Nothobranchius furzeri: one gene and its partner. The protein of the gene in region 2 purifies or fractionates together with the protein of the main gene of each other region. This does not show direct contact. Links are inferred from orthologs where the notes say so. Each region holds a gene or a part of one and is shown on either strand. Other genes may lie near its edges.

Region 1 (10,608 bases), on a different chromosome or scaffold from region 2:
GGTCCTGTAAAAACAGCTCATGATTGTTCACCGTCATGGTTTAGGGGAAGGATACAGAAAGCTGTCTCTAGCCCTTTTCAGATTGACATTCTGGAATATGTGTGGACAATTCAGTCTGGTTTTTAACCAGAACTGTGTTTTCAGACACACCACTTTTGTATCTGAACTTGTCCCTTCGGCTGCCTTCACACAGCAGGGAAAAGTTTCAGATGTCAGACCAGATATTGCGTAAACATAGTGCGCCGGGCGTACATGCATCATTTACCCAACCAAAGCTATTTAGTCAAACATGGCCGACGAAGAGATAGAATTCCTCTCACTGATCGGACTTATATTAAGCATAATTATGTGCACACAAAGACGCATAAGAGACCTGGATGATGAAACTCAATGGTTAAAGGAATCACGGAAGCGGTTTGAAGCGCTCCGTCGCGCGTCTAGGAGACTGTACCGTAGGAGCGCATAGGAGGCGAGCTGCCATGGTTCGCCGCATGCTACAGGAGCGAACAATCTAGGTGCGCACAGCGTCCCCCGGTCCCCTCCTCTCCCTCCTCCCTGTCCGGAACTCGACCTCACCAGTCTGAAGCAGCCACCCTGTCCATGGCGAGTCCGGTTCTGTTACTAGGGGCTTCGTCCAGTTTAATCACGGAAAAGGTTATCCGGATGTTTGTATTCAGACACAAAGGTCTTAAGGACAGAGTCCCGAACATTTCCATTTTCCATGGCCTGTCTGAAGGGGGCTTCAGAGATTTCAGCTGTCTGTTTCCACAGTTAGGAACATATTGAGGAAATAGAAGACCACAGGTACAGTTCAAGTTAAGGCTCCAAGTGGCAGAGCAAGAACAATCTCAGATAAACAGAAGTGAAGAATGGTGAGAATAGTCCGAGCCAACCCACAGACCAAAGACATACAACATCATCTTGCTGCGGATGGAGTCGATATGCATCATTCAACTATTCAGTGCACTTTACACAAGGAGATGCTGTATGTGAGAGTGATGCAGAGGAAGCCTTTTCTCTGCCCACAGCACCAACAGAGGTTTGCTAAAGCACATTTGGACAAGCCAGCTTCATTCTGGAATAAGAAAATGGTCCAGAATACCTTCAGCCTCTCTGTCTGTCTGTCTGTCTGTCTGTCTGTCTGTGTGTGTGTGTGTGTGTGTGTGTGTGTGTGTGTGTGTGTGTGTGTGTGTGTGTGTGTGTGTGTGTGTGTGTGTGTGTGTGTGTGTGTGTGTGTGTGTGTGTGTGTGTGTGTGTGTGTGTGTGTGTGTGTGTGTGTGTGTGTGTGTGTGTGTGTGTGTGTGTGTGTGTGTGTGTGTGTGTGTGTGTGTGTGTGTGTGTGTGTGTGTGTGTGTGTGTGTGTGTGTGTGTGTGTGTGTGTGTGTGTGTGTGTGTGTGTGTGTGTCTGCTCTGTCTTCTCGATCCCCAGTGAGTCGTGGTAGATGGCTGCTTATACTGAGCCAGAATTCTCTGGAGGTTTCTTCCTGTTAAAAGGGAGTTTTCCTCTTCACTGTCGCTTTATGCTTGTTTAGTATGAGGATTGCTGTAAAGTCACTGACACTAGTCAGTGACTTGATGCAATTTGCTGGGTTCCTTATATAGGAAACATTATTTCTGATTGGCTTAATGAAATGACCTGAATTTGAATGTTTATCATGTGAAGTGCCTTGAGATGACTCTTGTCGTGATTTGGCGCTATATAAATAAACTTGAATTGAATTGAATTGGAAGCTATAGGAAGTGTGTAGCTTATGCACCTGCCTAATTTTGTTTAAAAGATTATTGCACACTTTCTGTAAATCCTATAAACTTTGTTTCACTTGTCAAACACCACTGTGTGTGTCTCCTATATGACATATTCAACTGAGATTTTTTAAATTGTAATAACCAACAATTAATACAGGAAATCATGAAGATTAACGAGGCTACTGTGTGTGCGTGCGCGTGTGTGTGTGTGCACGCGCGCGAGTGATTGAGAATATATGATTTGGGAGTCTTGTGACTTCACTGACCTATCGGAATCAAGGATTCGACCATAACTGTAGACATGGTAAATGCTTTAGTCAAACCACTTGGAAATTCAAAATAATGTGTAACTCACCATTCAGAGCCTCATATCACTGACAGAATAGAGCCTTCTCCAACAACAATGGTCTTACTTTCACAATCCAACATAATAGATTGCAGAAACCATTAAAAAATTTCCTCAGATGCTCATAATCCCTGTTAGCATCCAATGTTAGCTTCTTCCCGGACCAGCAGGTGTAGGGCTACCCACTCTCTGCTGAGGCAAATTCATCAGCTATTGGCTGATAGGTTAGAAGTACTAACCCTCTGGTCTGGTGTGTAGCGTCAACGAACTATGGCTCAGTTTATGATTTATTGAAGCATCAACTAGCCAGTGAAATTTAGATAGAAGCAACGTCTCATTTGAAGACCTTGCAGCTTGCTTCTGCAAAGGGAGTAAAAACATTAGTGAATGGTGGAGCGCTCTATGCAGTGTGCCGGCCCACAGAACCTCTTAACATCTCCTGTGCCAAAATCACACGTCATCATTTATTTGGGACTGTCGAATATCGCTTGAAAATGACCCAACCTTAGTGTGTATCGGTGCATGTTTTGTTTTTAATTCATGAATGAAAAATGTATAACTACTAATGACAGATGTTGGAAAGATGAATTATTTTTGTGTAATTGTTTATTTTCATAACATTTAAAACTTACTGGTGCTTTATTTCTGCTTTTATCGGTTTAAAACCAGCTCAAGGAGCTTTACACTCTTCTCAATGAAAACTATGTGGAAGATGACGACAACATGTTCAGATTTGACTACTCTCCTGACTTCTTGCTCTGGTACAAATGAAACACTTTCAGCTTTACACTTGCAGCAAATGTTAAAGTAACTGAATATTTTTAAATGTATGTAGTTACTCATTACACTGCTTAACTGGTCTTCAAATCCGTTTCCTGCTCAGGGCCCTGCGGCCTCCAGGCTGGTTGCCTCAGTGGCATTGTGGAGTAAGAGTGAACTCCAACCAGAAGCTGGTCGGGTTTATCAGCGCTATTCCAGCCAACATCCACATCTACGACATGTAAGGAAACTCTGTAGCGTTGAGTAGACCGTTCAGGTTGTGTCTCAGTTACCTGAAAAGTGTGGAACGCTGAAAACTCATTTTTAAATCTTATTTCTGATAATAGGTCACAGTTTTTTATGCAGGCTGAACATGAAAATAATCTCCTACACCTATCTCCTGCATTAGCTTCTGATAGAAAATTGATGATGAAACTCTAGGATTTGGAAAATCCTGACAGATCTACGTCACACTGTCACTGAACATTCATGGACTCACCCATCTTGACTCACAACGAGGAAGGCTGTTGTTGGTTTAGCGTCCAGGAAACGGCAGAGAAGATCTCAGCTAGTAGAAGCTAACCGTTAGTTTTAGCATCTCCGCCACACAGCAGAACTTTGTCAGGCTTGAGTTGTTTGTGGAGATTAAACCTCAACGTTGCAGAGCAGAGTCAGTGGTAGTCACATTGCTGTTATCCAATCAGAGGTGAGATGTCCAGAAAAAAATCCTAAACCTGCCGTCTGACGCTCAGCTCTGATGCGGCTCACTTCTAGTTCCTGAATATGGTGCGCCAGAGCTCCCCCACCACCTTCCAAGTCATTCATTCCTACTCGAGACCTCTGCAAACGTATTTGTTTAATGAGTGATCCACACCTTGAAGTAGTCATGGAAGTTCTTCATAAATGTCAGTGAATATTTCACAGCATACAAGTCTGACGTAACCGTTTTCTTTTTAATGTTTGTTTTTCTTAGAGAAAAGAAAATGGTTGAGATCAACTTCCTCTGTGTCCACAAGAAGCTTCGCGCCAAGCGAGTGGCTCCAGTTCTGATCAGAGAGATCACTAGAAGGGTCAACCTGCAGGGTATCTTCCAGGCGGTGTACACTGCAGGAGTGGTGCTGCCCAAACCGGTGGGCACGTGCAGGTTTGTCTGGCAAATAAACCTTAGTTTTCATCTTTTACAGCTTTAATGATCATTAACTTCCACAGGTACTGGCATCGCTCTTTGAACCCAAGAAAACTAATTGAAGTGAAATTCTCCCACCTGAGCAGAAACATGACTATGCAGCGCACCATGAAGTTGTACCGCTTGCCAGAGGTGTGTGCAGAGAGACACAAATCTACACATGCTCCCCATTATACTTTGAACCTCCTGTTCACTGTATTTTCTCCTCCAGGCACCAAAGACTTCTGGTCTGCGACCGATGACCAAGAAGGACATCCCGGTGGTGCATCGCCTCCTCCGTGAGTACCTGAGCCAATTCAACCTGGTGCCTGTCATGAACCAAGAGGAAGTGGAACACTGGTTCCTCCCTCGGGAGAACATCATCGACACATACCTGGTGGAGGTAAAGTGTTTTAATTCAATATTCTTACAGATAAAAGAGCTTATTTTTTCATTTTTGATGTTTTCTCCATGCAGGCCGAGGGCAAAGTGACGGACTTCCTGAGTTTCTACACACTGCCATCTACTATAATGAATCACCCTGTGCACCGCAGCCTAAAAGCAGCGTATTCCTTCTACAATGTGCACACCACCACTCCCCTGATTGACTTGATGTCCGACGCCCTCATCCTTGCCAAATCGGTTTGTTTACATCTTATTAAAACCCAGATCTGCAGCTCAAGTTATAACGTGCATCAAACCAATGTGTTTTTCTTTGCCCGTATAGAAAGGCTTTGATGTATTTAATGCACTGGATCTAATGGAAAACAAGACTTTCTTGGAGAAGCTGAAGTTTGGGATTGGAGATGGCAATCTGCAGTATTATCTGTACAATTGGAAGTGTCCCAGCATGGGGCCAGAAAAGGTAATTTTTCTGGGATTACTTATTTGTTTAGTGGAACGAAAATAATAACAGCTACATTTTTATTTTTCTCCTTCTTGTGCTTTTTGTTGATGCTGAAAAATCTTAATTCCTAACCTAAACTAGTCAGCAGAGGATTGCAGAGTGTTGTCCATTGTGAAGTTGGTAAAGTTTCTACCTCAACAATCACTGGAACCCACTTGGAAAGCAATAGCTTAAAGAGTTCAAATCTCTTTGGTGTTGCTTTAAATGCTGAGTGATGCTGGTTAGTGATTATTAGGAATGTAAGAAAATATCGATATAGCAATATATCACAATATTTTTTCCTGTGATATGATATCGATGTTCAAAAGCTGTGTATCGATTTTTTTGGAAGAACTCACGTGTAAACATTTGTGTATTTTCTTTACTTTTGGTGCAAATCAAATGTCGTCCGCTAGTCAGCAGTAGTGTGCAATGGAGTTTGTTTCCACCACTGAAATGTAAATCCCTCTATTATGGTTCAGATACCTCATGTTAATCATGTCAAGTATCAGTTTGGACCACTTATTGAATTTTCCTACAATAATTTTAGTCTTAAAAATCGCTAATATTGCCTGACTGAATGTATCGCAATATATCGTGAAATATCGTATCGTCTCCCCTGTATCATGATAAGTATCGTATCACCAGAATTTCGCCAATACACATCCCTAGTGATTATAAAGTGTAAGTTTCATCTGAGCATTTAACGTAGTCCCACTTTAGTGGGAGCAGCTTTACCAAACAGGTGACAGGATGTTTCAAATGGATCTGGTGCTTTTCTTTTGGAAAAACAAAAAACACGTCGCTGACACAAAAATGCATTAACATGATTAAAAGTTGTCATTTCATCCCACAGATTTAAGCTAAAACCATCTTGTGATGAGAAGTGATGGAGGTATTTATAATTGTTTGGTCGAATCTTGAAAACAATCAGGGCTGCTTAAGACAATCTCACAAGATGCATGACCTGTGGTGCATCTGTAAAGGACTCACAGCTGCTAAATTACCACTTGGTGGACCCCAAACCCATCTTAGGTTAAACCTACAGTCTTGTCTAAAGAGCTGTGGCCTTCTGTTTTCTCCTCAGGTCGGGCTGGTTCTGCAGTGACATCTCCTTACAACGTCGGGAAAGTGTCGCCAACAGGCCTGAAGACCACACCACAGACTGATGATTTCCAGCTTTTGGAGAGGAAATCCACCACTCATTTTTACTTTTTGACCCTTTGAACTTTGACCTGCACAACTGCTGCCAGGCTGAGGGTTTGGGGAGCTCTTCTCCCTCCCTCCCTCCCTCCCATCCTCCCTCCATCACATGGACCTTAAGCCATCTTAGTGACCATTGCAAGCAACTGTATTTCATCTAAAAGCTGTTTTCCATTTGTACCAAACACACCAGAACAGTTGGCACAGATTACTGGTCACCAGAACACTCACTGTTGGCAAACCTACAAAACCTGCAGTACCTGTAAATAATATCAGACGTATCTGCGAAGAACGCCCTAGCTCCTGCAGAGCAGAACCTACTGTTTTATTCTACTCCTAATCATTGGAAGTGCTTTTTGCAATTAAACTAAATCTGTTCTTAAGTTTTAGACGTAACAAAATCAACATGAGCAGGAATATTCTAAAGAGAGAGAGAGGATGTAATAAATACCAAAAGTGGACATAAGATAAGGGCTTCTGTTAAGAGTTCTTTTTTCAACTTTGTATTTTATTTAATTTTGCTCCTCACCATCTGTTGGCATTCATGAAGGTGTCTCGGCACTGCTTGAAGTTATTACCAGAGTTGGCATGCATCCTCTGGAGCTTCATATTAACACTCATGGGCGTCCTTATCCAGCCCATCGTACCGACAAAAGAAATCCAGAAGCAAGGACAAATCAATCTCCGCTGATCACAGTTGAGCTGATACAGCTGATTCATTTATCAACGGGAATGAGGTTTACGCCAACACCTTTGGATTTAAGTGAGGCCCATTTGTGACTTCCACTGTTAAATACCACAAACCTGTTTTATTTTTCCAAAATATCTGCAAGGTTTCAGGTGGCAATCAGAAATCCAAAGTACTTCAGGGCACTTTTAAAGTTTTTTTTAAAGCTTAATAGATAACTAAAACCTCTGGCGGGAAATCTAAAAAAAATATTTAAAAGGTATTTGGTAAAAATGGAAATGACCAAATTATAAACAAGTTTGAGTGTACATGCAGCATCATGCTGAGCTCTAGCTGTATATATTGAGCTGGTTTGATCACGTCACCTGTTCAATTGGAATTAAATCAGATGTGACGACACACCAGAGTTTGTAGGCTACCAAGCATAGTTCAGCAGATCTTGCATACTGACTATGCAGTTGCTTTCAGAGGGGGGTGAGGTTTTATGGTCAGAATCTGGAGCTGGGCCTGTGAAATCGGTCTGGACTGGCAACACGTGCAGGGTGGATGGTGATGAGTGGGGAAGCACTCCTGTTGGGGTTTCTCGTGTAAAACGTGTGCTAAAGGATGTTTAAAAAAGGTGAGTCTTGCGGTGTTGTGATGCAGGAAATGAATGAGAAGATGGAGGTGATATTTTTTTTTCTTTTAAGCAAAATAAAATAAAATCTAGCAGTTGCTGTGAAGTTATTTGTAGTTTGTTATTTAAGAGAGCGTTAATTAAAGGTGAAATGTAGAAGTTGCAAACCACTTTTCACTGATCTGTTTGCATGACAACAGAGTTGCATGTTTCTGATTTTTAGTTTGAGGCTTTTGTTTTGGCAGTGGCCAAGGTTTAAGGTTACCGTTTATATTGGCTCCGGATCCAAAAATACGGCCTAAACTTGCAACCCTAAATATTTCATGTTGGTCAATATAAGCACAGCCTAAAAGTTCAACAATGGCAGAATGAAAACAGTGAGGAAAATATTATTTTAGGATTCTTTGCCCCATGTCAGTTCTATTTGATTCCATCTTAGTGACTCCCTAACTTTGGGAACCGCTCGAGTTTTGTTTTAATAAGGTTTTCATGACCAAAACGAAAACGTTTATTTTTTTAATCAAGCTATGCTAAATAGAACTGAAAACTTTTTAAAAGTCAAACCAAGTGATGTAATACTCTGTAGCGCTCATTTTGTTTAAAAACACTCGAAGGTGTTTATTTTCTAGGGCGAGTTTCCTTTTATAAAGGCTGTTCGACATGCCCACTCGTTTACTAGATAGGGCGCTGGTTCACGAGAACTGATCAGGAAGTAGTGAACGGACAAGCAGCGGGGAAGCGACTTTCTCTTTACAGTTGTTGATTGGTCCAAATAAATCGCGTCACATAAAGCTACGGCTGTGGTTGGCTGAACGAGCATAGGTGGTATTTTGTCTAGCCCATGAGGAAATGAACCCACAGTAGCTGGAGCTGTCATCCCGGTTACAGCTCCTTCAGAAAGGGGATAAAATGTTTGCGGTAGTAGCCATTATTTTAATATTTTTAGTGGTATTTGTTTTAAAACATGTCTTCGGCAGCTCCGGACCAAATCCCTTCGAGAAGGACTGTCGTGAACCGTTAAAAAAGATGGTTTTCGACAAAAAAGAGAGAAATAAAGTGCTGAAGCAAGGTGCGTGACGTTTAGCTGCGTAAATGTGTGTAGGATATGTGAACGACAGTGAGCTGTTTAAAAGTTCGGCTGCGCAGACCTAATCCTAGCAGTAAACATGTTTCCTATCTTTTGGACTTAAACAATTAGAAATAAAACGTTTGGTATAAATGGATCTTGATTTAATCAGAGAATTGGAATAAAAATACTGTCATGTGAAAAATAATCCAAATATATGTAACGCAATGAAAAAAAAATAGTATCTTTATAGGTGAAGTTTTCTTGTTTTAACTTTGTTTTACCTGATTTAATTTAGGTTTCCTGGCCTCCAAAGTACCAGAAAATCTTGATGCAATCATCATTGGGAGTGGCATTGGTGGCCTTGGACTGGCTGTGTTTCTGGCTAAAGTTGGAAAGAAAGTTCTGGTTCTGGAGCAGCATAGTCGGGCCGGGGGATGCTGCCACACGTTCACAGAGAAAGGCTTTGAATTTGATGTTGGTGAGAAGACGCATAACTGATTTCTTTTAAAGTTCAAAGCTGATGATGATTTTTCTAGTAAGACAGGTTTTTGTAAACAAACGCAGACAGGATGCAAGTTTATGTCCTGTATTGAAATTCTCCTTTTTTTATCACCCAGAAGTTGATAAGAACACAAAAGTCAGTCCTGACTAACAGTTGCTGTGCTGTTCAACCACAGGGATCCACTACGTCGGTGAGCTGTTAGACCACAAGCCTTTTCGCTGCGTGTTGGACCAGATGACCAATGGGCAGCTGCAGTGGGCACCTCTGGAGAACCCATTTGACCACATTGTTCTGGGACCTCCAGAAAACCGCCGCTGCTACCCCATTTACAGTGGCAAGACCCGCTTCCCCGAGGAGCTGAAGAAGTGTTTCCCAGGCGAGGAGAAGGCCATCGATGAGTACTTGAGATTGGTCAAGGTAGGATCCTTCAGCTCACTCGCACATGTTCTGGACAGTCGCTAGGGTCGCAGGTGGCTGGTGTCTGTCTCCACCGTATGAGAAGCAGAGGACTCTCTGGACAGGTCTCCGGTCCATCCAGGACTAAATGGAGTCACACAACTGTTCGCACACGGGTCGTCTGCTTGGAAAACCAGGGAAAAGTGTGGTGCAGCTGTACAGTGGACAGGTAGAGAGAATTGCTAAAGCTATTGTTAGGGATACGGGACACCCACTGCATGCCCAGTTTACTCTCCTGCCATCTGGACGGAGATTTATTGTGCCAAGGTGCAGGACCAAGAGGTATAAAATGAGCTTTATTCCCGAGGCAGTAACGTTAATGAGAATTGAGTCTGGTGTGGCTATTTTATATTATTTTTATTCACTTATTGTTTATAATTTTTATTGATGTGTGTGTTTTGTGACTGTGTGTGTAACCTGGGCTATTAATAAAGTTACCTTGACCTTGACACTAACTCACACTCAAGGGCAATTCAGAGTCACCAGCTAACCTAGCATGCACGCTTTTGACGATATGAATTAGTTCACTCACTGACTCAACATTCAGACGCCCTTTCCCTGAATAAACTTTGTGTTTAAATGCCGCACTTTGATTTCAGCTGATATTGTTGAATCAGACCCCCAGCTGCAGGATTACACAACATGTATCTGTGTGTGTGTGTGACTTTGACACACACACACAGATAAAGATCCTCCCACTTTTACTAACTGCACTTGTCATTTTAGTGCATCTATCTTCTTATTCACCTACGAGGTGGAAGGTGCTTCTTAATGTAGGCTAGATTCCTTGCAGATATTTCATAAACCACTGAATGAATTTCAACAAAACTTTCAGAAAGTAAGTACAGGGTATCCGCGGGTCCTTAAAAAGTCTTAAATTTGCTTTTCCAAATTTAAGGCCTTAAAAATCCTTAAAAATGACAAATAATCCTTAAATCCAGTTTCCAAAGGTCTTAAATGACCAAAGACCCAATAAACAAGATTCTTTTATTTCTATAAAATGTTTGTGAATTTCTAGTTGGTGTTCAGCATTTTTTGTGTATGACGCTGGCGTAAGCAGAACCATACACATTCAGTTGGTTGTGAAAGGGGACTATTTTTAGATGAGCACATTAGCTGGTTAAGCTAGTGGGAGCTTGCGCCATGGGGAAGTGCAAGTTTAATGGTAACTA
Region 2 (11,151 bases):
AAAGAAAAACATCTTTGCAAAAAAAAAAAAAAAAAAAAAGAAAGAAAGAACGAGAGAAAGAAAAAGCTATTATTTAAAATATATTAATATTGGCATTTGTTTGGTACAAAATGGAAAAAGAAAGAACTATCTTGATTGTTTGATGACATTCTTACTATAAATGATCCAATTTACCCTAATGACAGCAGTTCAGCTGTTGGGTAAACTGTTCATCTAGTTAAATTTTGAGGATTGTAAATTCTGCAAACGACAATAAACAATAAAAGGTCCCTTTGGCTCTTAACAACCGCAGTCAATTCGCCATTCATAAACAATGGGGTATCCTCTACCTTCACTCCTTTATTACTCTCAAGAGAAAGACATAACTAAACGCATAAAGCCTGTTTGAGGAAGCTTATGTTAATGTTCTTTTTGTTTCATCAAACATCTCAGATAAGTTAAATGCTCTTTTATACATCTAGTATTATTTAAATAGCCTACATAATAAACTGGACTTTACCTCATACTGGAGATATTGTTTCCTCCACTCTGGGGTGATGTGGGACGCAAGATGCTCCGCGAATTTCATTTTTGCTGAAACAAGAGTTCCTGTAAAAGCTGTTGAATCCTGGAGCGCGTCCCCGTCGACGCGACTTTTGTTCGGTCAGACAACTTGCAGCCTCAACGTGCGCTGCTGCGGAAGCTCCGGGCTCCGGCTCCGCTCCCTCTCACTCCCACTCCGCTTCAGGCTCGTCCCGCTCTGTGCGCTCCGAGCAGATCCCGTCCCGCATATTATTTCCACGTGAGGGTCAACAGCGACTGCTCCTGAACAGGTGGTCGGACGGCTCAGCTTGAGAGTGGCTCAGTGACTCTGCTCGGTCCCTCCCTGGGCTGTGTCCTGGGGACATTGCGGGCGGCCATGCGGTGGACTACAGTGACGTGTTTGCGTCAGCAGAGCGCGCAGTGGCACCGGACCCGGCTGGGACCTCCTGATGCCTGCTGACTGGGCATCCGGACAGCCGCACCATCATTTATCTACTTCTGCTTCCATCTAGAGCCTCTGCACTGATGTTGCTGTCTGGAAATAAGACCAGACACAGTTCTCTGATAAAAGTTAGTACCTTATCCTTCTGGTGTCTAAAGCAGATTTTGAAAACTCCCCGCCCAAAGTGATTGTTTTGACTGAGTTCACCTGGATTAAAAACTTAAACCCCATTTGTTTAGTACAGCTCGTAATATCCAGACAACCCAGTCGAATAAAAAAAAATAATTCAAACTGTAACTTCAACAAACACCCTTTCATGCGCAATAATGTCTCTGCAGCTTTTTCAGAAGATGTTTTTATGATCCTTGCACATAAACTCTAGTCAAATGACAAACTTATGATTTCTTTTTCTTTACCAAATGCACGTTTCTAAATCAAAACACGTGTGTGCCCAAGCGGACACCCGAAAAGCTACATATATTTTTTATTTCAAGTTCAATGTGTATTTTCCTGCCCACAAAAGAGTACAAATACTAAGAAAGATTTATTCTGACTGATGTCCCAACTCAGGCATTAGGAGCCTATAGTGAAAAGTAGGATAAATCTTTTTTATTAAAAACATAAACTTTCACATTTTTTGTAAATAATATTGATATTTTTATAGACCAAGTATTTTTTCTGCAACTGTTAATAAATACTAAGAAAGATTTATTCTGACTGATGTCCCAGCTTAGGCATTAGGAGCCTATACATGCGAGTGAAAAGTAGGATAAATCTTTTTTATTAAAAACATAAACTTTCACATTTTTGTAAATAATATTGATATTTTTTATAGACCAAGTATTTTTTCTGCAACTGTTAATAGTTGTAAACAAAGCAGCGCGATGTTTTATCTGTAAATGGGATGACAAATTGTTTGTTTGACAAACGCTTGTGTTTTCAGATTGAAGAACAACTTTTAGGGAAAAAAACAAATAAGCAAACATTAAAATTAAAAATACGATAAAAAGATATTAGTCTGAGGTAAATGCCGTGCAAAAGAACGGTATTGGTTGATACTATACTATGGTTGAAGCATTTTATTTTTCCACAAGTCAACATTTCTGTGATTATTGCAGTCACAAATCCGTACGCCAAAAGCACCCTCTGCTGGACTAAATAAGCCATTGCATTTACGGTTAAAGTCTCGAAAAAGTGAAGAAAATAAATGCAATGTGTACATCATCTATCTGTATTACATCTAAATGTTACCTTGAAGACTGACTATATTGTTGAGAAATGACTAAATGTGTCTTGCTGTGAGAATAAACTGTTTTGAGCTCTGATTTAATTCATCTTCTTTATTCCTTTACAAATGATTACAACTTTCCATTTTAGTTAGTTGATCTGCAACCCAAGCATTTTTCTAATAAAATTAGTTTTGAAAACAAGTAGATTTTATGATTGCTTAATTTATTCAAATAGCTGTATAGCTTCATAGTGTTTCTGACGAGTTTAAACTGACGCAATTTATTTCTACAGCATGTGTAAGTCATTTTTAATAAGTAAAGTATTGCTTGTTTATTATGACTAAAATATAGAAAATTAATTGTCTGTTCAGTTTCCAGCTCGTGATTTCCGACCTGTGGACAAGGCCTGGACAAAAGTACAGCCGGTGTTGTGCCAGTAAAGGTATTCCAGTTGGGCGTGACATCCAAAGGCAACTTTGTTAACAAATAGTGAACAGATGGAAGAAACTCCTGGCGTTTTGATCCTTGATAAACATTTATTTTAATATATTTAGTCTAATTATGTTTTTGTACCCTTGGACCATAATAGTGTGGATTTTACGATGTGATACAATATTTCCTGGGCTGGACAAATAAAAGTTTCCAATCTCAAATCTTTGATTAAAAAAAATATATTGAACAAGTGTAATGTTGAGTAAATGCACAGTAGTATAATACAGTAACAAAGATATTAATGAAAAAATAAACAGATGAAACTAAAATTATTAGCCCCATGAGCAATTATGGAATATTTCCCTAAACTTATTCCTAATGTTTACAACATTGATGAAACTTGATACAATCAAACATTTGTGAGTGTTGTTTGGAAGCCTTTGGTACATTTTGTAATGTAAAATAACATTTTATGCCTGCTTTATATCAAATATAGTGAAAAATAGGGTTTTCAGAAATATCAGCATGAGAATGTTTGCTTTCACACCAACAGTTATTAACCAATCAGCTTTGAAACTGTGCAGTCAACTGGCTTCCTAACAACATTCAGTCACTATAAAAAGACTCCAAGGAACAGGGCAATTGAGCACATGACAGGGACTACAACGCCTACAAAGACAAAAGAAATCAGTCTGGAGCACAGAAAGAAAATGGCCTGTGAAAAGGTCGAGGACTACCTTGCCCTTTCCAATTATTTACAGTCTAGGAGTCGAACTATTGTACATTGCATCAAGATCAAGTACAAGGAGACAAATTCTGTAAGAAACAAACTCTGAACGTGGCTGTAAGAGCAAGATTTCAAGAACTTTGGAGAGAGAGGTAGTTAGGGATATCAGCAAGGAGCCTCGGACATCTGCCATGATGATTGGTGCTGACCTGGCCTCTTCTGGCGTCGGCGTTTCAAGGAACACAGTTGTGAGGGCTCGTCATCATAGGGCCAGCAGAACCCCTTTACCCTACGAGCTACACATCAGAGCCTGACTGAAATGTGCCCGTTTGAAAGATTAATATTAGTTTTGGAAGTCTGTCCTTTGGTCTGATGAGTCTAAAGTGGAACTGTTTGGGCAAATGGATGTTGCGTTTGGCAAAGAAAAAGCGAGAGAGTCCTTCAACCATCACAGTTCCCACAGGTAAGCGCAGTGGTGGGAGCATATACTGAGGGGTTGTTTTGCAGGTTTAGGCACAGGGAGCCTTGTTTGGTGTCATGAAACAAGTGTCGTGAAAAAAATCTGAGGAAGAACATGCAGAAATCTGCTTGTAGTCTAGGCTTAGGTCATTGCTGGCTGCTCCAACAAGACAATGACCCAAATAATACATGAATATCCAACAGTTAAGGACATCAAAACCAAGATCCTGACCCACACAGAGCCCTGACCTCAATTCTACTGAGAATCTGTGGTGGGTGCGCAAAGTGAATAAAAGCTTGGAAACCATGTGATTTGAGCCAGCTACAACAAATTGTAAAGGAAGAATGGACCAAAATCTTTATGGAGAGCTGTGCCAACCTAGAAAAGAACTACTCTAAGAGATTGTTGTCAGTTGTGGCTAGAAAGGGGGAACTATTGATAGCCAGGGGCCTAATAATTTTGGATGTCTCATTTCTGCTGTTGCTTGTTTCAACTTTGTGTATCAATAACATTTCCTAATTAAATTTATTGTTTATGTGTATGTACACAAATGTAATGGTGGAGAAGTGCAATGTAAGTAAATAAAAAACAGAGTCCCAATCAAAAGTTTAGGACCACTTGAAAATGGCCAAGAAACATATTTGGCATGGTTGGATCCTAACGAGTTTCCAAGTAGAGATTCATCAACAAGAAAAAATTAAAGAGACAAAGCATTTTTGAGCATGTAATTTATTGAAAACAATGCTTAAACTAAAACAGGCTGTTTTACAGCTGATCAAAAAGTCACACCCCAGCAGACGTAATAATCACAACTCCACACAGAATTTGTTTCCCCTTTAACTGTGTCAAAAAAAATTTAAACAAACCTTCCTCATGAAAGAGCATCAACAGATGTGTGAATGCACATTTTGTATGTGCCATACATGTAAACAGCGTGCTTGATTTTAAGTTATTTTCAGTACATTTCTAGTCAAAATGTTTTGTCTCACTCCCATTTCTTCTTGTTGCAAATTGAAGCTCTGCTTGGAACCTGGTTGGTTTAATATCCAACCATACAAAATATGAATTTAGCCATTTTTCAAGTTGACCTGGATTTGACCTGAAATACGTCACACATCATGGGTGCGTTTATTTGCACAGCTCCGGAACCTTTCTTCTTGGCTAGAGATTGCGCCGACCTCTTTTGATGAAAGGACTAAACACGGACTTACCGTAGAAATGAGTCTGGCATCGATAACGGATTAAAAGCGTTATTAGCAATAATAATAATACTTTTACAAATAAATATCTGACAGCTTCTCTGCGGCTGCTTTCCACTCGGGGATTTCTGGTGGTTGTGGTTTATAGGACAGCGCGTTGTGAACAATAACAATGGCCTCTGGTTCACCCTCGTCCTCCCCGGACACTGCGACGGGCTCGGGTACGGATCCAGCGCGGCCCGATACCGGCGAGCCTCTTGGTGGAGCGGGTTCAGACTCGGACTCGGACTTGGGTTTGAGTAAATTTGATTGTAGTGCCGTGGAGATGACGGAGGAAATGGAGGGAGAGGAACTGGAGCAGGAGTTTGAGTCTGCAGCTGACCGAGTGAGAGACTTGATTCAGACGGCCAGCAGGGACCAGCTGCTGTACCTGTATGCTCGTTTTAAACAGGTGAGTGTCACATTTTCAACACCAGTTTTAACCATACGAGTGTGTCCGTCTGGCGTAGTTAGTGACCCCTAGTGGCTTCAGATGAAACTACAGCCACATACTCTGAAGGAGTGTTTGTTCCAAACATGTTTATAACAGTGATCCAGGTTCAGATGGGACAGCAACCAGATTAATTATGTGTGTGTTTTGTTTTCAGGTCAAAGTAGGGAAGTGCAACACCCCAAAACCTGGTTTCTTTGATTTTGAAGGGCAGAGAAAATGGTATGTTGTTTAAACTCGCTGGCCTCGTTGAAATATAGGAATTAGTTTCTAGTTTATGTATTTTTTAAATTAAATTAGTAGCATGTGCATACAAAAGGGAAAATAATTCCCTCACATGTGAAAATGAAGAGAGTATTTAGTCATATTTTAGCCTGTTGTCTTTTAAAGGACTTATACCCACAAATGTACCCAGATACTTTTACCTGAAATGCAATCATAAAACGGTGTAACAAGTAAAAGTCTTTCTTAAAATGTACCATTATATTCAGATTTTCTTTGGCAGGACCTTTACTTTTCCAATCATTGGTTTTATTGTATTGTGAAAGTTTCCTGACCTTTTAATGGACCTTTTAAGAAAATCTCGGTCCAGATGAAGCCTCACACCCTTGACTGTTGAACAGGATTGTGATGGAGTTTGTGATTTCACCACAGGCTAGCCTGGAAGCAGCTTGGAGACATGGACGCTGAGCAAGCGATGCGAGAGTACATTACCTGTGTCAATGTGTTAGACCCAGAAGGCACCACAAAGGTAGAACCAGAGCTGCTCATTCAAACGTTTTTCTGAAATTTGTTTTAAAAAAGAAATAAATTCCAAATAGTTCAAATCCTCAAAGATATTTGAGAAGTAAAATGTTTTAAGAATAGAACCAAGAGGTTTGATGACCTTTTTAGTATTTTCCTTAAGCCTACCTGATTTAACAATGTGAGGATAATTATTTTAATTAAATCACTTTGTCTGAAACACATGCTGTTCTATTATTGATCTTATGAACCATTGATAAATAAATAATTCTCTCTTTGTAATTTAATCTAATTTAAATTTGGGTTTGCTGTATCACTTCATTACCCTCTGCTGAAGTAGATGGATGTTTAACAGAGATGGGGCCACTAGATGTCAGTGTTACATAGTTGACACCCACATCACCTCGCTTCTCCTCCAGCTTCACTGGCTGCCAGTCAACTTCAGGGTTCGTTTCAAGATCCTGGTTCTGGTCTATAGGGCCTTACATGGACAAGCACCATCTTACATTGGTGATCTTCTTAGTCCCTACACCCCCAGCAGGTCCCTGAGGTCCAGTGATCAAAGCCTACTGGTTGTGCAGCACCAGGCTAAAGACCAAAGGTGACAGATCATTTGCTGCTGTGGCCCCCAGACTCTGGAACTCTCTCCCCCTGAGTCTGAGATCAGTGGACTCAGTGAACTCCTTTAAAAAGCAGCTGAAGACTCACTTGTTCAAGCTCGATTTTGTATGACCTTCTTCACCACTCTCTCTTTATTCTGCTCTCCCCACCTATTCCACCTTCCTCAGGATCCACTGATTTCCCTCTTTCCTATTCACTCTCTCTCTTTCTTAACATTTTTTCTTTTAAGTCCCAATTGCCTATTTTTGCTCATTTTAAATATATTTTAAACATTTTCTAAATGCTTTTTTATATTTTAATATTTTTTTTGTTTTTGTGAAGCGCCTCGTGATTTTTATCTTGAGAGGCGCTATAGAAATTATATTTTCTTCTTCTTCTTGATTTCTTACATTCTTTACGGTCTCAACTTTGAGGTAAATACATCCTAAAAATACCCCCCCAAAATAAATATGCCAAATAAATAAACATACATATATATGGCCCACTTGGGCCAGCTCCTCCGGGGGAATCCTAAGGCGTTCCTTGGCCAGCTGAGAGACAGAGTCCCTCCAGCATGTCCTGGGTCTCCCTTTAGGTCTCCTCCCGATTGGACGTGCCCAGAAAACCTCACCAGGGAGGCGTCCAGGAGGCATCCTAACTAGATGCCACAGCCACCTCAACTGGCTCCTCTTGATATGGAGCAGCAGCGGGTCTACTCCGAGCCCCTCCTGTGGCCCTTTTTCTCATCTCTGGGGATTTCAACCATGCTTCTCCGTCATCTGTTCTGCCCACATTTACGCAGTATGTTACCTGTCCCACCAGAGACAATAAAATACTGGACTTGTTTTATGCCAACACCAACGAAGCATATTCGGCACAGGCAGGCTGTGGCCCCACGTATAGTGAGGAGGTGGACTGATGAGTGTGAGGAGGCTCTCAGGGACTGCTTCAGCACCACGGTGTGGACAGAACTCTGTGATCCACATGGGGAGGACATCAACGCCATCACAGATTGCATCACAAACTACATAAACTTCTGTTTTGAGAACACTGTTCCCTCCAGGACGGTGCGGTGCTTCGCGAACACCAAACCATGGATCACCCCGACGTCAAAACTCTCTTAAAGGAGAAAAAGAGAGCCTTCAAATCTGGGGACAAGGAGGAGCTGAGAACCGTTCAGAAGGAGCTGAGGAGGAAGATCAGGGAGGGGAAGGCCAACTACAATAGGAAAATGGAGGAGCAGCTACAGGAACAAAACATCAGTGGGGTGTGGAGGGTGTGGAGAAGCCTAAAAACCATCTCTGGCTTCAAAACACCCCACTCACAGGGGGAAGGGGGACCTGAAGTGGGCCAACAACCTAAACCTGTATTTCAATAGGTTTGACCAAGCACCCACCCCTACCCCCACACAGCTGCATTCAAATAACTCCACACCTGGACGGCCCCCTACAGCTACAGCCCTTCACACCTCTGGCTCCTCCATTCAGACCTCCATTCAGACCATCATGCACCCCCCAGCAGGACTCGGCCCCCTCTCCAGTACAGAGCTGCACTGCCCACCCCTCTCCTTTACAGCAGGCCAGGTGAGGAGAGAGCTGATGAAGATCAAAGCAAAAAAAAAAGCTGCTGGTCCTGACAACATTAGCTCTAGGCTCCTTAAATCCTGCGCAGATGAACTGAGTGGAGTTATGGAGCATGTCTTCAACCTGAGCCTCAAGCTGAGGGTGGTACCACAGCTCTGGAAGACCTCCTGTGTGGTTCTAGTGCCAAAGACACCAAAAGCTAATGAGCTCAGTAGCTACCGGCCAGTGGCTCTCACATCCCACCTGATGAAGACACTGGAGAGACGGATCCTGGGACACCTCCGGTCTACTGTGGGACCTTCGATGGATCCACTGCAGTTTGCTTACCAACCAGGGGTTGGAGTAGAAGATGCATTCACTTGTCTACTACATCGTGCTCTGGCCCACCTAGAGAAACCTGGCAGCACTGTGAGAATCATGTTCTTTGATTTTTCCAGTGCTTTTAACACCATCCAGCCAGGGATTCTAAAAACTAAACTGGAGAGGGCTTGGCTGGACCCTTACCTGGCAGAGTGGATCCTGAGCTATCTCACAAACCAGCCCCAATTTGTGAGAGCCCGGGACTGTGTGTCTGACCCGCTGACCTGCAGTGTGGGTGTGCCCCAGGGCACTGTCCTGGCTCCATTTCTCTTCACCCTCTGCACCTCTGACTTCAGACACAACATGGACAGCTGTGTCCTGCAGAAGTTCTCAGACAACCCTGCGATTGTCAGACTGATCATCGAGGACGACGATGTGGAGTACAGAGGACTAACGCAGGACTTTGTCGATTGGTGCCAGTAAAACCACCTCCTGATAAAGCAGGGAAAACAAAGGAGGTGGTGGTGGATCCTCACAGACGCCGACCAGCTGTCCCCTCACCAGTGAACATCCAGGGAACAGACATCAAGAGAGTGGACTCCTATAAATACCTGGGTGTTCACCTGAACAACGAACTGGACTGGTCTCAAAACACAGATGCACTGTATAGGAAGGGCCAGAGCAGGCTCCACCTCCTGAGGAGACTACGGCCTTTTGGGGTGAGGGGGACACACCTGAAGACCTTCTACGACTCTGTGGTGGCATCAGCAATCCTGTGTGGTGTGGTGTGTTGGAGCAGCAGCATCACAGAGAGGGAGAGAAAGAAGCTGGACAGGCTGACAAAGAAGTCCAGCTCTGTCCTTGGCTGTCCTCTGGATTCTGTACGAGAGGTGGGGGACAAGAGGGTGCTGGCAAAACTCAGATCCATCCTGGACCATGAGTCACACCCCCTGCAGGATGCCTTGTCTGCTCTGGAGAGCAGCTTCAGTAACAGACTGATCCACCCTCGCTGTACGAAGGAGAGATACCACAGATCTTTCCTCCCTGCTGCTGTTAGACTATAATAGTCACTGCTAACAGAAGCCATACATCTGTAACCTTCCACTGCAAATATAATCTTTTCAAAACGCGTGCAATATAACTACTACTCTCATTACCATGTGCAATAATTATCTTAACTTATTATGTACTCTTGTGCGATATCTTGTGTGCTACTGCTGCTATCCTGCAGTACCTGAGCCATTGCAATATTGCAATTTCCCCACTGAGGGACTAATAAAGGTATTCTTATTCTTATGACCAAGCTTCACACCCTCTCTCTAAGAGAAAGCCCACCTACCCTGCGGAGAAAACTCATTTTGGCTGCTTGTATCTAATTTTATTGGTCACTACCCAAAGCTCGTGACCATAGGTGAGGTTTTCTGACTCAAGACCATGGTCTCAGATTTAGAGGAGCTGATTGTCATTCCAGCTGCTTCACACTCGGCTGCGAACCGCTCAAGCGAGATCCGGGATTGGTGCATCTCTAATTAAAATCATTTTCTGGATCTCTGACACAAAACCTCATGTTGTGTTTGTGTTGTTAAATGTAGTCACTCCTAACCAGCAAAGGTCTTGAAGCTGACGGAACACTCAAACACATTTCTTTACCCGGAGTTTGACTTCCGAGTCATTTTTAAAGTTGGATGTTACGTGAGGGGGCATAAAAATATTTTCTATATAAAAAATTTAAACCGGTCACTGATGTGTTTTAATGGAATGTGATATAAACAGGTAACACAATCAAAAAAACTGATGGCTGCGGAGGAGAAAAAAGATAATCTTTACATGTCCATTTTTTTATTTATTAAACTGGGGAAAAACAACTTTGGGATTTTCTACAGATTCTGCAAACTAAAGCCAGCAACTCACTGGCTTGTGACTGTTTGTGACAGATTACAGACAAAATTCATCAACGTTTTCATTTTCCTCTCATGAGCCACAGATTTACGCTCTTATGCAGCTGGAATTTCAAGAGTTTGTTCAGATATATTGTGCCACAAGTTTAACAGTCTCAGAGTCGCTGTTGGTTGGTAGAAAGTGTGAAATATGTGAGACAACTTTGGGAAAGCTTTGTGACCAAATTGTGAATCAAAGAAAGGTAAACTGCAAATAAATGGAGTCGTAATTAGGACCTGTTGTGGCTAAACTGCAGCATGAAAAATTATTAAAACTCAAGAAAACCACAAAATGTACTAATTCAGTATGAACCCAGTAAGTTTGTTACTATTGTACTATCGTGTTTCTCTGCACTCATATTTTTCCTCTTGTCTCTTTTCATCTCTGACCCCATTAACCATTTCCTCCATCTTTCCTTTGCTCTTCTTTCTCATTCATGTTCTTTTTTAATAGTGTCACTGTCCGCCACTTTTCAAATCCTGGCA

Evidence for each region.
Region 1: the proteins of acbd6 (region 2) and nmt1a purify together in Homo sapiens (co-immunoprecipitation; 3 studies listed by BioGRID and IntAct, with this or other methods). This does not show direct contact. The link is inferred for Nothobranchius furzeri from reciprocal best matches to the Homo sapiens genes ACBD6 and NMT1.

What each region holds. Positions count from the first base shown.
Region 1 is NC_091745.1:11,794,753-11,805,360, reverse strand, and holds the end of nmt1a (glycylpeptide N-tetradecanoyltransferase 1), read left to right. Parts: intron 1-2,761; coding exon 2,762-2,853; intron 2,854-2,975; coding exon 2,976-3,092; intron 3,093-3,824; coding exon 3,825-3,995; intron 3,996-4,060; coding exon 4,061-4,169; intron 4,170-4,248; coding exon 4,249-4,419; intron 4,420-4,493; coding exon 4,494-4,658; intron 4,659-4,743; coding exon 4,744-4,881; intron 4,882-5,989; coding exon 5,990-6,010; 3' UTR 6,011-6,243; downstream 6,244-10,608. Other genes in the region: retsat.2 (all-trans-retinol 13,14-reductase), read left to right, coding at 8,319-8,478, 8,774-8,956, 9,156-9,397.
Region 2 is NC_091748.1:57,392,568-57,403,718, reverse strand, and holds the start of acbd6 (acyl-CoA-binding domain-containing protein 6), read left to right. Parts: upstream 1-4,969; 5' UTR 4,970-5,183; coding exon 5,184-5,462; intron 5,463-5,658; coding exon 5,659-5,723; intron 5,724-6,155; coding exon 6,156-6,252; intron 6,253-11,151. Other genes in the region: xpr1a (xenotropic and polytropic retrovirus receptor 1a), read right to left, coding at 500-568. UniProt on the Homo sapiens protein: Binds long-chain acyl-coenzyme A molecules with a strong preference for unsaturated C18:1-CoA, lower affinity for unsaturated C20:4-CoA, and very weak affinity for saturated C16:0-CoA. Does not bind fatty acids. Plays a role in protein N-myristoylation.